Linked DNA regions of Oreochromis niloticus. The protein of the gene in region 1 purifies or fractionates together with the protein of each later gene. This does not show direct contact. Links are inferred from orthologs where the notes say so. Each region holds a gene or a part of one and is shown on either strand. Other genes may lie near its edges.

Region 1 (6,926 bases):
TTTTACTAAAAAGCTAAGTTGTTATCATGTTTTGGATTGTTTAACATAGTAATTTTGGAGCTATTGAGAAATTCTCTTGTTCTTATTTCAGATAAACTTTTTGGTCTGTATATTTACCTGCAGCGTACTTCAGAGAACGATTGTAGCTTGGCAGTCTCTTCCACAGTCCACTCTGTTCCTCTCCTCCGTCTGTCACCGCCTCACATTGGCTGTTATAATGTTCATACAGCTGCCTCATTTCTGTGCCCCATGAGGGGTTAGGAAGGCTGAAGTCCCGGGGGTTGGATGAAAAGACCGATGGAAGCGTTTGCTAAACAGAGAAATAAAATATAATGTCTGTTAGTATTAAAAGCGTAATGACAAAGTGTGGATGTCTCATATAGATACCATATGACTACTGCTTTAATATTTGTGGTTCTATTAAGTCAACAGGGGTCATGAAAACATTTTCCAAAATGAGCGAAAAGTATTAATTTAGCTACATTAGTTTTGTCATATTTGCAGTCATATGAAAAAGAAAGTTTGCATTGGACTCTGTGAAAAATTGTCAGGTCTTGTGTGTGGAGGCGTGGAAGAGATGACCCAAACGCTGGACTCACGGTGCAGAAGTGATGAGGGTTTATTGGGAGCAGGTGAACGAACAAAGCAGGAACGGTAGGAGTGACTGGCTGACTGAATAACTGAGAACTAACGGGAACAACAACATAACATCAATGACACGACAAAGACCAGGAGAGAACTGAGGACTTAAATATGCTGGCTGAATAATGACTTATAGGTGACAGGTGAGTGAACAGCTGAACATAAAGAACTACTGATAAATGGGAAGAGGGCTGAACATAATGAACACAGACCAAGGTTAACACAATAAAACAGGAAGTGGAACCGGCAGTAGAGAAACGGTGAACGTGAACTGAAAATACTGGGTCAACGACCCAGAAACCCTGACAAAAATTCAGCATGTTGTAGAACCACCTTTAGCAGGAATAACTTGAACTACTTCTTTTCTGCTTGACTTTATCAGACTCTCACATCATCGTGGAGGAATTTCAGCTCATTCTTGTTCATTCATGTTTATTCATGCGCAGCTCTCTTAAGGTCCCACCACAGCATTTCAGTTGGGTTTAGGTCTGAACTTTGAGCGAGCCAATGCAGCACCTTGATTCTTTTCTTTTTCAGCCATTCTGTTGTAGATTTATTGTTTCTGTGTTTGAAATCATTGTCCTGTTGCATGACTCAATGTCTGCTCTACTTTTGCTGTCAGACAAATGTCCTCGCATTTGAATTGTTAATACTTAGGCAAGGTACCCGGCTCCTGTGGCTAAAAAACAAGCCCAAATCATCACCGCTCCACCACTGTGGGTTTGAGGTGTTTGTGTTCATTTGATTTGTTTCATTTTTACCAAACACCTCCACTTTGGTCTCATCTGTCAAAGGGACATTTTTCCTGATATGTTTGTTCAAGTGTTACTTTGCTAACCTGAGTCGTGCAGCCAAACTCTTTTCATAGGGAAGAAACATTCGCTCGGCAGCCCTTCCAAACAAAACCTATTTGTCTTTTTCTAATCACACTGTTATGAACTTTAATATTTATCATGATAACTGAAGCTTGTAGAGTCTGAGATGTTGCAATTTATAAGCAATGCATGATCTGACACTGGGGAGAATTTGTTGTGACGTCAACTCCTGGGAAGGCTGAATACTCCACACCAGCAAAATGCCAAAACGTCTGCCTTTATAGAGATCTTAGCAATTGCTGGTAATTAATAAATCTAATAAATCTGTTGTCTTCCATGAGGAGAAGTTGACTAATACTTACCCTCCTAATTCTGTTTTGTATGCCTGTGCGTTTGAGGTGTATATGTACACTTGTATGCATACAGAGAGAGACATTCTGCTATTGTAAATGACCTTATTGCCGACTAGAGTAAAGAGTACAAAGAGTAAAGAGTTAGAACAGGACGATTTTCTTGATGTAAGTGTGGAGGTTATTATGATCTTATAAATTCTAACTCATATAAACTCGAATACCTAATTCCTATGTAATGATGTAGTTTTTAATAGTAGTTTTTAACAAGAAGAAGTACAGAAAACTTTCTTCTTCACACGATTGTACGTTATTATATTTTTCTATAACACTATTATTTGTTACTGTTTACATGTTTGTCATGATGAACTTCATTTTTAATTGGGTTAACAAAATAATTTTCCAACCCTTGGATAAAGTGTTTCTTATGTTATCTGTGATGATGTTGACCTCTGTGGTCGTGTTGTAGAAACATGGCCTGCTATTTTAAGTTGTAATCACTACGTTATAGTCATCTTACATGTTTTTGGTTTGTTTGTTATTTCCAACAAGCTGACAAACTCTCACGCTGGCCACGTGTTTTTTAAGCTGTGATGTGCTTTTACTTTATTTAGCTGTGGGATAGTACAGTCACAACACTAGAGAAACATCTGGCAGGAGGGAGAAGAACATAACACGGCAAACAACTCACATGCACCATGAAAAAGTCTTTCATAAAATACGGCTCACATGTCTACCTACCACCATGCTCTTCAATGAAACGCTGGCAGGGGGATTGCTGAGTTCAGACTTCATGAATGCGAGAGAACCGAGGCTCTGAAAGCCCCTGAATATTCGACCCAGACTCCTTGCCATCTGTAAACTGTCCCCGCGATGATTGGAAAGCTGGGCAGAAACCGACTTCTATAACCTGAGGTAGATAAATTATGCTGTAACGGATCGTTGAGAGTTAGCTGTCTGTCGTCTGTTAGCGTCCTAACAGACTACGGTCGCTGCAGTAAACACTGGTCTGCTTTAAAAATAAAAGTGACTTAACCATCTTTGACCCGTGTTTATGTTCCGCTGTCTCACAGAATAGGAGTACGTCCTATCACGAGTGTCACTGCTAGTATTTTACCGGTGACTTTCATGTGTCAAGATCAGGCTGTAAACTTCCGGCGTGAGGGAGTTCTGCCGTTGCGTCGGTTGGGTAGAGTCACGTGCCATACAGATTCCAATATAATTGGCTGTCAAATAGAACTTTTTTTTCTGTTCCCTTGGTAACCACCATTATTCTTCTCTTTTCTTTTTTTTCTAACTTTACCGAGACACGGCAGATTTTTAATAGTTGTGATTCAGTTAAAAAAAAGTTTACACATTTATTGGAAACAAATAAATAGTTTGAGAAGAAACTAAAAAAGAGAGACTCAATTAGGTCATATGGGGCTTAGACAATAACAAAAATAACAAAATTAACAGAATCGACTATTTTTCTGTAGTTATTTTTACTCATAAAACTTAGAGATTAATGTACCTATTATTTATTTTATTAAAAATATAATTTTCTTTACTTAAGCATATTGCAATATTTGGAACTTTTTTGTGGTATAGCACATATAAAGTTTTTATTATATATTGTTAACTTAATTAATGCAACATAATTTTAAAATGTAATGTGCAAATATAAATCTCCTGTCTCTATCTAGAGACAAGATAATAGATAATAGTTTACTTTCTGCAACTGTTACTGTTCCACCACATTCCAACGATGCTCTATTGGATTGATCTCTGCTGTCTGTGGAGGCCATTTGAGTACAAAGATGACTTAAACTGTGTGGCATAGTGCATTATGCTGCTGGAAGCAGCCTTCAGAAGATGGGTACACTTTAGTCACAAAGAGATGGACATAATCGACAACAATACTCAGGTAGACTGTGCTCACTTGCTATTAAGGCACCCAAAATGTGGCAAGAAAATATCCCAAAAAACATTTCACCACAAGTGCCAGTCTGAAGCCTTGATACAAGGCAGTTTGGATCCATGCTTTCATTGATCCTAACTTTCATGTACTTAACATCAAATTCTGACCACAGCATTTAAATGCTACTGCAGACATCAAGACTCATCACACCAAGCACCATTTACCCAGTCTTTTATTGTTCTATTTTTGGTTCAAATTGTAGACTCAGCATCCTGTTCTTAGCTGAGGGTTGTGAAGCCCAGTATGGTCAAGCAGCCTCGTCATTTTTCTCTGACCTCTGGCATAAACAAGACATTTTCACTCAGAAAACTGCTGCTTGCTTGATATTTCGATGTATGTGTACAGTGACAATAAAGGGCTATTCTTTTCTCTTTTTAATACCATTCTCAGTAAACACTAAAAATGGCTTGTGTGGGGAAATCCCACCAGATCAGCAGCTTCTGAAATACTCACACCAGCCTGTCTGGGACCAGCAACCATGCCACCTTCAGAGTCATTTAAATCACTTTCCTTCTCCATTCTGGTGCTCGGTTCCAACTTGAGCAGGTCATTTAAACGTCTACATGCCTGAATGTTTTGAGTTGAGCAATAAAAAATTTTAAGTTTAGAAGTGGGTGGAGGTTGAAGGAGAGGTAGCAAGTATTTCTGTAACAACTTGCAAAACAACAACAACAGCAAAACAAAACATTTACACTATTTATGCATTATTTATAATAATTTATGATTATCATATGTTTATAAGTGATTCAGTGTTGATATAGCCTTTAAAAATACCGGTTATTTTCAATACAAGGCTATCATGTAAGCACAAGGTTGAAGAAAGGCATCTTGCCTGCAGATTAGCTGAAGGTGGTAAAGGGAACTGTGTGAGTGCAATGTTGAAAAAGGTGCAATCAGTTGTAAAGGTAAAAAATAAAATGAGCAATAATAACTAAGGTTACACTTGTTAATTTATAGGAACTTTAGGAACACAAAACACTTTATTTAGTCATTGTACATCCATACAGCACTCAATAAACCCACAATGTTTTTGGTGATCTAATTTCATACAAGACGTTTTGTAACAAGTTCAGCGTACTCAAGTTATTCTTGTAATAGTTTCCTCCAAAAGTGATCCCCTGTAAGAAAGTGCTTCCTCCTTAGTTGTATCAGCAAAGGCACAATGTCAGTAACATAGTCTGTCTTAACCCTAGGTTCTGCACTAGGGGGAGTTGAAGGACCATTTATTTGAACAGACGTGATAATTTAGGTTTTGCCTCTTAAATCTAAAAGGTTTTATCATTTTGGCTTTCTTTATATTCAAAGTAGCATTAAATGATGTATATAATGTTTTTACACTTTTACACACATTGCATCTATTTTCTAGACTCCTTAAAGGTCTGCTGTTTATGGCCCAGAAGCATAAATAGTACATCAAATTCATAAAAACCAAACAGAAACTGAATAAAATCTGGGTCTGTGTGTCCTTTTTTTAAAACTAGATCTGGTTTGTGTCACTAGAAGAAATAACTGGAACTTTTTAGCAAAAATATTATTTCCACATCATAAAACCAGTGCAAAATAACTGCCAGGTCGCTTTTTCATTACTGCTGGAGCTACAATGAAAATGTTGTACATTGTTACAATAATAAGTGCACTTTTTCTATTTTTTATTACATTCAAAAGAATAATAAAAAATAAAAAAAAATAGTAAAAATATGATAAAAGGAGACACCACAGTGTTTGACATCAGGTACCCAACCACAGCAGTCAAACAGCTTCTGCAGGGGTTATTTCAGCTCAAACACACTATCACAGAACACTCAGACAGACGTGGCAAACGTTGATAAGAGGGTTACTTTAACCAAACCATAATCTTTCCTTATAACTAATCAAAGAGTTATTTCTATTACTTATATTGCTTACTTATATTGTTATATCACCATATTAGGCGCAAAATTTTGAGCACATAGAATTATTGTGGGATGTTCACCACATTATATATTACAAATACAACCTTTTTTCCTTCTTATGATATGAAATGAATTCTATTTCTCTATTTCACATGTCCGTATACTTGTTCTCTGAGTCAATGTGCAGAGTTTCTTTTCTTTTTTTGTTACTATTCCATAATAACCTTAGTGCTGATACAAAACTTGGATGCACAAATATTTTTCTGAAAAAGTTGCTAGTCATTGTTGTGCAGTTCTGAAGTGACTTCACTGTGTTTCTTGAGTTATTCCACACAACTTCCTGAAAAATCAAGAAAGCAAAAGACAGTTTTCAGTTTTGCAGTAGAGACGTGTTAAATAGACTTCTACAGTAGCCCCCCGGTGATCTACGGTAATCCACATTATTATTAACGATGCATGCTGGTGATTAAAATCTTACCGTCCTTCCTCCTTGGTTGTATCAACAAAGGCACAGACAGCTTTATCTCTATCCGAAATCTGCTGTTTCAAGCTCTGAATGTTCTCCTGGGCTTTACTTTTAGCTGCTTCGTGATCAACTGAGACAATAAAACATAATAACAAATGAGAGCAAAACTGAGAATGTGTAAATGTATTATTAGAAACAGGTAGCTTTGTGTTGAAAGCAAATATTTGGATTGTACAGTAACTGAAATCTACAAGTCCTGTAGATGGAGCCATGTGGCTCAGTGTTGCTACAGCTGGTTTTACAGGTTTCCCATAAAGGAATGTAAAAATGGAACGGTTCTTTTTCTTCTTGTGTAGAAAACTGAAAAAGAAAACCCCACCCAGTGCATTTAAAAATGCAGACACAGAAATGTTTGTCTTATTCTCCTATCTGACCCATATCATTGTGTAGTGTGTGTAACATATTTATGGATGTGTTAGTCAAGAGCTGATATCAGCAGAGCAGAATTTAAACAGAAAGATGGCTTACCTTTGAGTTGATCTATTTCCCCTGTTGTACTAGCCTTCGTCTTCTCCGCCTTCTCCTAATGAGAAAAAAAGAGGAAGTCAGCAGTTACACTGGTTAACTGCGGAATGAAGCTCAAATAGAGACAATCAAGCAAATATTTAAATGTATTACAGTTGTTCACATCATCCTTTTCTTCCTTTTTTTTAATTAATATTTAGACTGCAGCACGAGCATGCAAATGAAATAACTCCTGCGGACAAAGTGCATTTGTGTGCCTGTGTGCGCGTGAGCCTT
Region 2 (7,762 bases), on another chromosome or scaffold:
GGTGCTTGTGTCACACAGCCGATGTTGGAAGGATCCTGGAGAGGGATTTGAGAAGGAAAAAAAAAAAAAAAAAAAAAAAAAAAAAAAAAGGGAAGCACACAGAGTGCAATTCAAAGTAAGGATCACAAAAACCGTTGGATCCCATCGGCATCTTAGTGTGGACTCTGTGACACAGGCACGCACACATTATATACACATTGGGATACACCTCACAAACAAACTTGAGCGCACACACGCCGCAGCCAAAAAAGCAACACATGCACAAGACCGGCTCTGGAGCCACAACAGAGCGCTGCTGTTTTAATGGGAGCGACCTGTTGCTACTGCGGCCTGTGTGGAAAAAGCTGGGCCGCTGCCAGCGCTGCAGCCAGCAGCCACTGAATGAACCCAGTACCCTGACAGCGGGTCACATGGTCCTCAGGCCTCTGGGCCACCGCCTGCCTGCCTGCCCTGATGTCAGGGCGGCTTTCAATCATTCATCTTTCTGGCTCCAACGCCGGGGGCCACCCCATTCAATGCAAATCAGTGTCATGCAGCAAAAGTTGCCACACACTGAGCTTGTCACTGGGCCAGAGAGGATAGTCCCATGTGTTTATAGCAGGAAGCAGGGGAGAAGAAAAAAAAAAAAAAAAAAAATCAGGTCGACATCACCACGCTACTTCCTTCATCACAGATTAATAGATACCATTTTTTGCTTCAGTTTCTGCTCGGTTAACAGAAAAACTACCACATGGTTTCTGGTTCCAAAAGTAAAACATTACACTGAAAGTATTTAAAAACACAAGAAATGACATCACGCTAACCTGTTGCTGAAAAACAAGTCACCAAAGCAACACTTTAGTTTGAGCTCAAATACCACAGTGGAGCCAGTATTACGGTGATCTACTACGCTACCAAGTTCCTCTTTCAAGTTCCCTGAAAGCACACCATTATTGATAAGAATATTGCGGGCAGCTTTAACTGAACACAAAACCGCAGTGACTGCAACCTTGAAAGGCAAGCAGACTCGCCGCTTTAATCCTACGATGACACGAACACCAACCACTTTATGACTCATGTTAATGTAATCATATTCAGGCTGTTCAGACAAGCTGTAAAAGCAACACAAAGCTTAATTTATTCAAATCACCACCACCCCCCCACACACACATCACACCTCATGAGAATCATTTTACAATGGCTGGAAAGTTAACACAGAAAAGCAAAAGGAAAACAAAAGTATTTTGTTTTCAGTTTTTGTGACACAGATGGAGAAGAGTGACGTCCGGGACACCGGTACGAGAACCACCTCTTTCTCAGTCTCAGTACATCCAGACTCTGGTGATGCATCCAGGCCCCTGTTTGTCTGTTTTGGACAAAATTTCAAACAACATTCCTCAGATTCTGCATGCAACTGGTGGCAGATTTGCGTCAACCGAGCTGCTGCGAGGGGATTGGGTGGGAGGTGGGTGTTTTTTTTCTAAACAGAACAGCGAGAGCCAAGCAGTCACTGGCTGCATCATTGCGCCAGCTTGTTGCGTCTTCCCCAGGTCACATGCCAAATCCCCTTGCGTACACACACAGTGGACAGACGTAGTCTCATGACTGATAAAAACATTTTTTTTTTTTGACACTGAAGGCATGGTGGGTACAACACACCCGGGGACAATGTTCTCTTTTTAGTACATGCATGCACCCTGGGAGAAGGAGACAGACAGTATTATTAGTAAAATAAGTTTTAAACATGATTGCAAGCCTTGTATCCTGCAAGAATCCTTTTGAAATTTGAAAGCCCATCAGATTTCTATGCCCTTGATCACTTGATATCTCTCAAACTTGATAAGAATACTATAATAATAAACCTTTAAGACAAAAAACTATTGAGTGCAGACCTACACAACTGTCATTACTGTAGGTGGGATGCTAGCAGTGAGGCCAGTGAAAACTATCAAAACACACTTATCCACAGGCATTATGCCGTTGTACTGATTACGGGGGGGGGGCGTTAAATTACACTGTTGGGACTTTTTCTTATGACGTCTGTGTCTAAATTGTGGACCAAAAAGTAAACGCGTGGCAACAAGTCACAACATAGACGCATAACTTTTTCTTTTTTGTAAAGCAGCACTGTTTGTGGCCACAGCAGCTTCTCGGCAGGCAGGCAGCAAAGCTAATGGCTAAAGATAAGATGGCAATAAATGCCTCACTCAAACAAGTAAACAAACGCGGTGGTAGTTCACAACAATGAATGAGCTGCTCTCTCTTGTTGAGCTCATTTGTTTTCATTTCCCTCCAGGACCATAAAGCACAACGCCAAAAAACCCAACTTTTTTCCCGCAAAGAGGAGAACCGTTTCAAGCGACTTGACTGCAGATATTTTGGCCCGAGGGTTGTGTCTCAAAAGTGGTCATTGTCAAAAAAAAAAAAAAAATGAATGGTTAACATCTTAAAGAGACTCACTGCTGTTTGTGGAAAAACACCGAGCGTTAAGAATTCACTACAGGAAATTAATGAGCCGTCGACTTTTTTCGTCATGAGACAACTTTTTACGGCGAAGTGAAGTCAGGAAAGTACCTCATTTCAGGTTTGCATCTAGCGTTAGAAAGGATATGGGGCCTAGCAGGGCAGCTTGGGTGAGAATAACCGCATCCCATGTAAGTACAATGGGGACCTACCCTGTCTAGCTGTCGAACTCTTGTAGTTAACCATGCGAAGGAAACGCGGACATTTACCTGGACAGGAATTCAACAATGTGTCCGTCTCATTATAGTGAGCTGTTTCGGCGGTGTTTTAAGTTGACGGGTCCTTCAACAATCTGGACAAAGTGCTCTCATTTACTCCGTTTCTCTTGCCTTTCTTCCACTACACCTCCCAAACGCGCTGTCTGCAATGCCTCTGTGGCAGCCGTCTCTCCCGGGTCCTAAAGCCGCCCTTAAATGAGTCACACTCACAGAAGGAGTAGTAGGCTGTCAGGCGTCCCATTGAAGAAAAAAAAACTGCAGTGGTGCTTCTTCTGCATGGCCTTGTTGAACTCTCTGCTCTTTTATCTGTGCCGGTGGTTTCCAAAATGGGTTTCGGGGACCTGCCGAGGACCTTGTATGTTTTTCAAGGGATCCTCGCTTCAATTAAGTGTACTTAGGTGGGTTTTTTTGACTTCCTGGAACAACCACAAGGGTAATGCAGGCTACAAGATGAGAATTACATTTTGGTACCTGCTCTACCTGCTCTGCGATGAGCTATATTAGGGTTGCAAAAGGTGCTTCTAGTCATCAATCATCTGTAATTATGTATTACTTTTTTTTTGTCTTTTTGATTACATGTTTTTTGGTCACAAAATATACACAGATATTCCCAGTTAGTCCAGATGTTGTATATTAGTGCCTTACAAAAGTTCAAAATTACAGTCTTGCAAAGTTTGCTATAAGAAAAGACTAAGAAAAACGTTTTTTAGAGCTAAACTGGTTCATTTAGTATGTTATTATCATTTTGTCATTTCACATCTGCCCTGTTATTTAATAACTTTTAAAATTATATTACAATAAAATATTTTATGTTCACAAAACTCCTTCTAGGGTTTTAAACAAGTTAAGCTGCAGCTGTATCTGAAAGAAAAGTACAAGTTTGTCACCGTGTCTTTGTTTCAAGCAAGTTGTATTTGATGGGTAAACTTGTTAACATGGAAATACAGTTATAATAAGTGAAATTAGGTCAAAGTAAATAAAGCTTTATCCAAAATAAGGTCAACCAACCAATCAAAACCACGAAAACAAAAGGTTATGCACCTTAAAACTGTGTAAAGAGCTGTGCTTCTAAAAGGTGAAGCTCTAGCTCTAGTTTCAGATATGGTTCTTTCAGACACATGTGTAGCCTTGTGTAATCTAGTAAAATTATATTAAAATCACTACTAAAGAAGAAACCATAAGCAGGATGTGCTGCTGCTTCCATTCTGTTGCACGTCAGCGCTAAAGCATCAGGCTCGGTGGTGGACTTTTACACATTCGATCACCTGGTTCCAGTCACATCTGCCAGTACCAAAAAGCACTGGTACACGCTTTCTCTTCAAGTTGCTGTGGAAGGGCCTCTGACATTTCCAGGAAATGCCAACTAAACATGAAGTGTGAGAATGTCTCAGTCTGACACACTTAAAACAAAATACCTCAAAATGGGTAAAGCAGATGTGCTGAACACAAGAATGTGTTTGCAGAAGTGTATTTAGTCTGATTTAGCCCTTGCCACTGATCTTTTTGTATTCATGCAGATACTCTCTTAAATTAACTGCATATACCAGATGAAACAGCTGAACGAGAAGGTAAAAATCTTGAGGGTTGTTCATGATTACATGCCACACTTTTACCTGTTGTGTTAGATAAACCGTCATCTACAGCTACAGAGAACTCCACTGGAGAGGTAGGAGTTAAACCAGTTTTGGACAGGTACAGACAGGCCAGCTCAGTCTGCTTAAAAGAAGTCAGGGAGCCTATGTATCAAATGACGCCCTCAGATGACTGGGTATACTTGATCAAAATGTTTCTAACTAGAAGTCTAAAACATTTTAGAGACCTCCCATTTTAACATTTCCATTATCTTGCTTTACACTGTGATACTCACGACCCTCTTCACGTCCATTACGTCTTACCCCTCCATTATTTTTCTATCTCCAAGCATGGTGTAGTTGACTGCCTCAAAGTTGAATCAGCATTAGAAGTGCAGTAAAATATATGTATCACTTATAAAAGCAAGACAGTGCATGTGACAATTCCCGCAATAATGACTTAATAATATTAAAAGAACAGGATAGCAGGGGAAAGCTGCCAATGTTTCCTCTTGTGATGAAAAATTCATTGGCTTGTGCCCTTTGTCTCTCAGCCTCCTCTGCTGTCATTTCCCCTCTTTGTCACTCACGCTGTAATGTGTTTCTCACTGCTACCATGTGTCAGCCTCGCCAAGCTGTTCCTGTCATACAGGCAAAGCTGACTTAGGGTATCCCATATTTTCTCCAGTTGCTATTCATTGGTGCTCTCCTCCTCCTCCTCCACCCACTCTCTTTGGCCTGTTGATGGGAATGCCCGCTCTGTTGTTTTGCGGGATCAAACGTAACAGTAACAAGATTAAAAAGTCAAAGTGAGTTAATAGCATCTCTCCCATCAAAGGCTCATCTGATCTCTGATCCCTGTCTACTTGCAGTATCTGTCTAGAGTACAACAAACAGTACAGACAGAACTTAATGGCCCGTTAAAGGAGAATAGATAACACGCGGTAACAACAATTAGACACAGAAGGGCAGGAGGGCCATAATATGGAGGAGGTGTTGGGTGAATGGATACGTGGGGCGGTGGGGAAGCTGACCAAAACAGCATCTCCAGTCAACTACAAAGCAATTTTGCTTAAACTATTACACTATTAGATGAATGTAATATTTAAAAAAAACAAAGCAAAAGAATCACACAACTATTGTTGTATAAATTGCGTGTAAAACAGCAGGATCAGTACAGAACAGTATAAGAGATACTAAAAGTATGTGAGTGATATAGGGACACTTATTTTATTTAACCAGTGCAGCTGTTGTGATAAATCACTCCTAGAAGATACACACAAACAACTGATTATCAGTTATTAAAGCATTGGTTCTAAAAGCTGGCAACTGTTTTTAACGTGATTCCAGCATCCTATTTCCAAAAAAGTTAGGGACAACAATAGAAAACCCCTAAAACATCTGGTGGCTCATCTTACAGCTACAGTTAGGTTGACTGGCAACAGGCAAATAATATAAAATATTGTTGTAAAATTGGCCTCCTAGAGAGTGAAACATCTGTGAAGGACTGCATGGGAAAATAGTTGAAAATTTTAAGGATTGCTACCTTGACTGTTTCTGCTAGATGTCTCTTCCTGTTAAAAGGGAGTTTTTCCTTCCCACTGTCGCCAAGTGCTTGCTCATAGAGGGTTGTCTGATTGTTGATGGGTTTTTTCTTTATTATTGTAGGAGGTTTACATTACGATATAAAGTGCCTTGAGGCGACTGTTGTTGTGATTTGGTGCTATATAAATAAAACTGAATTGAATTAAATTTTGCAACTCATGAACTTGAGAATTTTCTTTGGTATGCAATATTATTAAAAGAGGTAGACATCGCAGGGAACTCTTTGTATGCAAAGGACTAGGCCAAAGACTAACACTCACTGCATTGGAAACAAACACAATTCTGAAGTGAAAATCTGAAGTAAAAATTCAAAAGGAACACTTTTGAAAACTATTAAGCGAACAGACATACATTTATTGTTTTATTCAAAAAGTTAAGTTTATTCCAAGTTAAACTCTGAAAGGCAAAGGAAAAAAACACTTATGAACAACATGGAAAATGCTACTGACTTCTCTGGGTCTGAACCCCTTTATTATGGACTGAGTTGAAGTAAAAAACCAAATTACTGTACTGTGGTTAAAAAGTTTTAATTCCTTTCAGAAATAATGGAAGACGTGTCCTCCCAGCTGAGAGAGAGTCCATCCAGATGATCTGCAAACAGTTCAGTAGCCAGCATCTGTGATACTGAGGAAGTGAATTTGTGCACAGGATGCAGAGGGTACGGGTAAATTTCACATCTTTAAAATCACCATTAATTCTGAATGAATATATATGCAGGGTTTTAGAACATGTGCTACCACTCATGTATTTTTCAGGAGGATGACACTAGACCACTTACTGGACATATTATAGCAGCGGGGCCCTACAGTAAAAGAATCCAGGTGTTAAACCAATCCGACTTTACTCCGAAACTGGAAATGTGGAAAATTACAGAACTAAAATGACAAAGCAGAAGGCCCCGAATGGCTAAAGAGCTGAAATCTTATATCAAACAAGCCCAGAAATACATTTGGCTTACAAAACTGCAGTAATTGATCTCTCTGGTTTCACAACACCACAGTGGCAAACATCCTCTTATCCCACTTTTTTTAAAGACATAAGCATATATGTTTCAAATAAACAAAAGAAAACCATAACATCGCAGCCTTTTGAATTTGTTGCTGTTGTGCTATTATTAATTAAAAACAGGGTTAAAAGGTTTTGCAAAGCTTTGTTTTGAATTCTCTGCCAGTTACATAAAAGATGCACCTGTTTAAAAAAAGGTAATTTGATTAAATCTGCATGGCCAGTGAGAGTGAAATAACATCACTCTCCCCAATATTAAAACCATTTCAAAAGAACATAAACTTTACTGCCCTTATGCATGGAGATGCATTATAAACACCCTCAAACAGACACCACCAGCACAGCTTAAACCCACAACTATGATCAGACTCTGGTCCAGCAGGGAGAGTGATGTGGTTCAACTCTGGCTGGTTGGCCAGTCAGGCTACACTGGAATGCGGGGTCTTTTGTTTGTCTGAGAGAGGAGTGGGTCAGGGAGAGAATGCCATTGATGATTGCAGAGAAGAAGAATGAACCTCCAGGAAGTGTTCTCTCTCTCTCTCTCTCTCCCGACTCCCCCGCTCTCATTCTCTCTGTCTCTCTTTCCCTATCTTTTTTTTTTCTGTGTGTGAGAACCTTCACCGTGCCGAGCCTCTCTCTGCTGAGGCCACAGTCCCCAGGCACAACCACTGCTTTGTCTTGCCCTGTGAACACACACACACCCCTCCTCTACTGGGCGCCTACGTTTGCCAGGGCCAGGGAAACACAGGGCCACTGCTCCTATTCTTATCCACATCACTGCTCCTGCTTGGATGGAGTGTTTGTGTAAGCATCAGTGCTTGAATGGTAAATTGTTTTTTGTATGTGCCACACATCTGACTA

The links.
Region 2: the proteins of them4 (region 1) and akt1 purify together in Homo sapiens (co-immunoprecipitation; 4 studies listed by BioGRID and IntAct, with this or other methods). This does not show direct contact. The link is inferred for Oreochromis niloticus from reciprocal best matches to the Homo sapiens genes THEM4 and AKT1.

Annotation. Positions count from the first base shown.
Region 1 is NC_031976.2:20,580,651-20,587,576, reverse strand, and holds the start of them4 (acyl-coenzyme A thioesterase THEM4), read right to left. Parts: upstream 3,011-6,926; 5' UTR 2,663-3,010; coding exon 2,549-2,662; intron 311-2,548; coding exon 118-310; intron 1-117. Other genes in the region: uncharacterized protein si:dkey-87o1.2, read right to left, coding at 5,966-5,999, 6,138-6,255, 6,654-6,708. UniProt on the Homo sapiens protein: Has acyl-CoA thioesterase activity towards medium and long-chain (C14 to C18) fatty acyl-CoA substrates, and probably plays a role in mitochondrial fatty acid metabolism. Plays a role in the apoptotic process, possibly via its regulation of AKT1 activity.
Region 2 is NC_031983.2:8,882,633-8,890,394, forward strand, and holds the start of akt1 (RAC-alpha serine/threonine-protein kinase), read right to left. Parts: upstream 3,086-7,762; 5' UTR 2,931-3,085; exon of another isoform or gene 2,655-2,930; intron 1-2,654. UniProt on the Homo sapiens protein: AKT1 is one of 3 closely related serine/threonine-protein kinases (AKT1, AKT2 and AKT3) called the AKT kinase, and which regulate many processes including metabolism, proliferation, cell survival, growth and angiogenesis.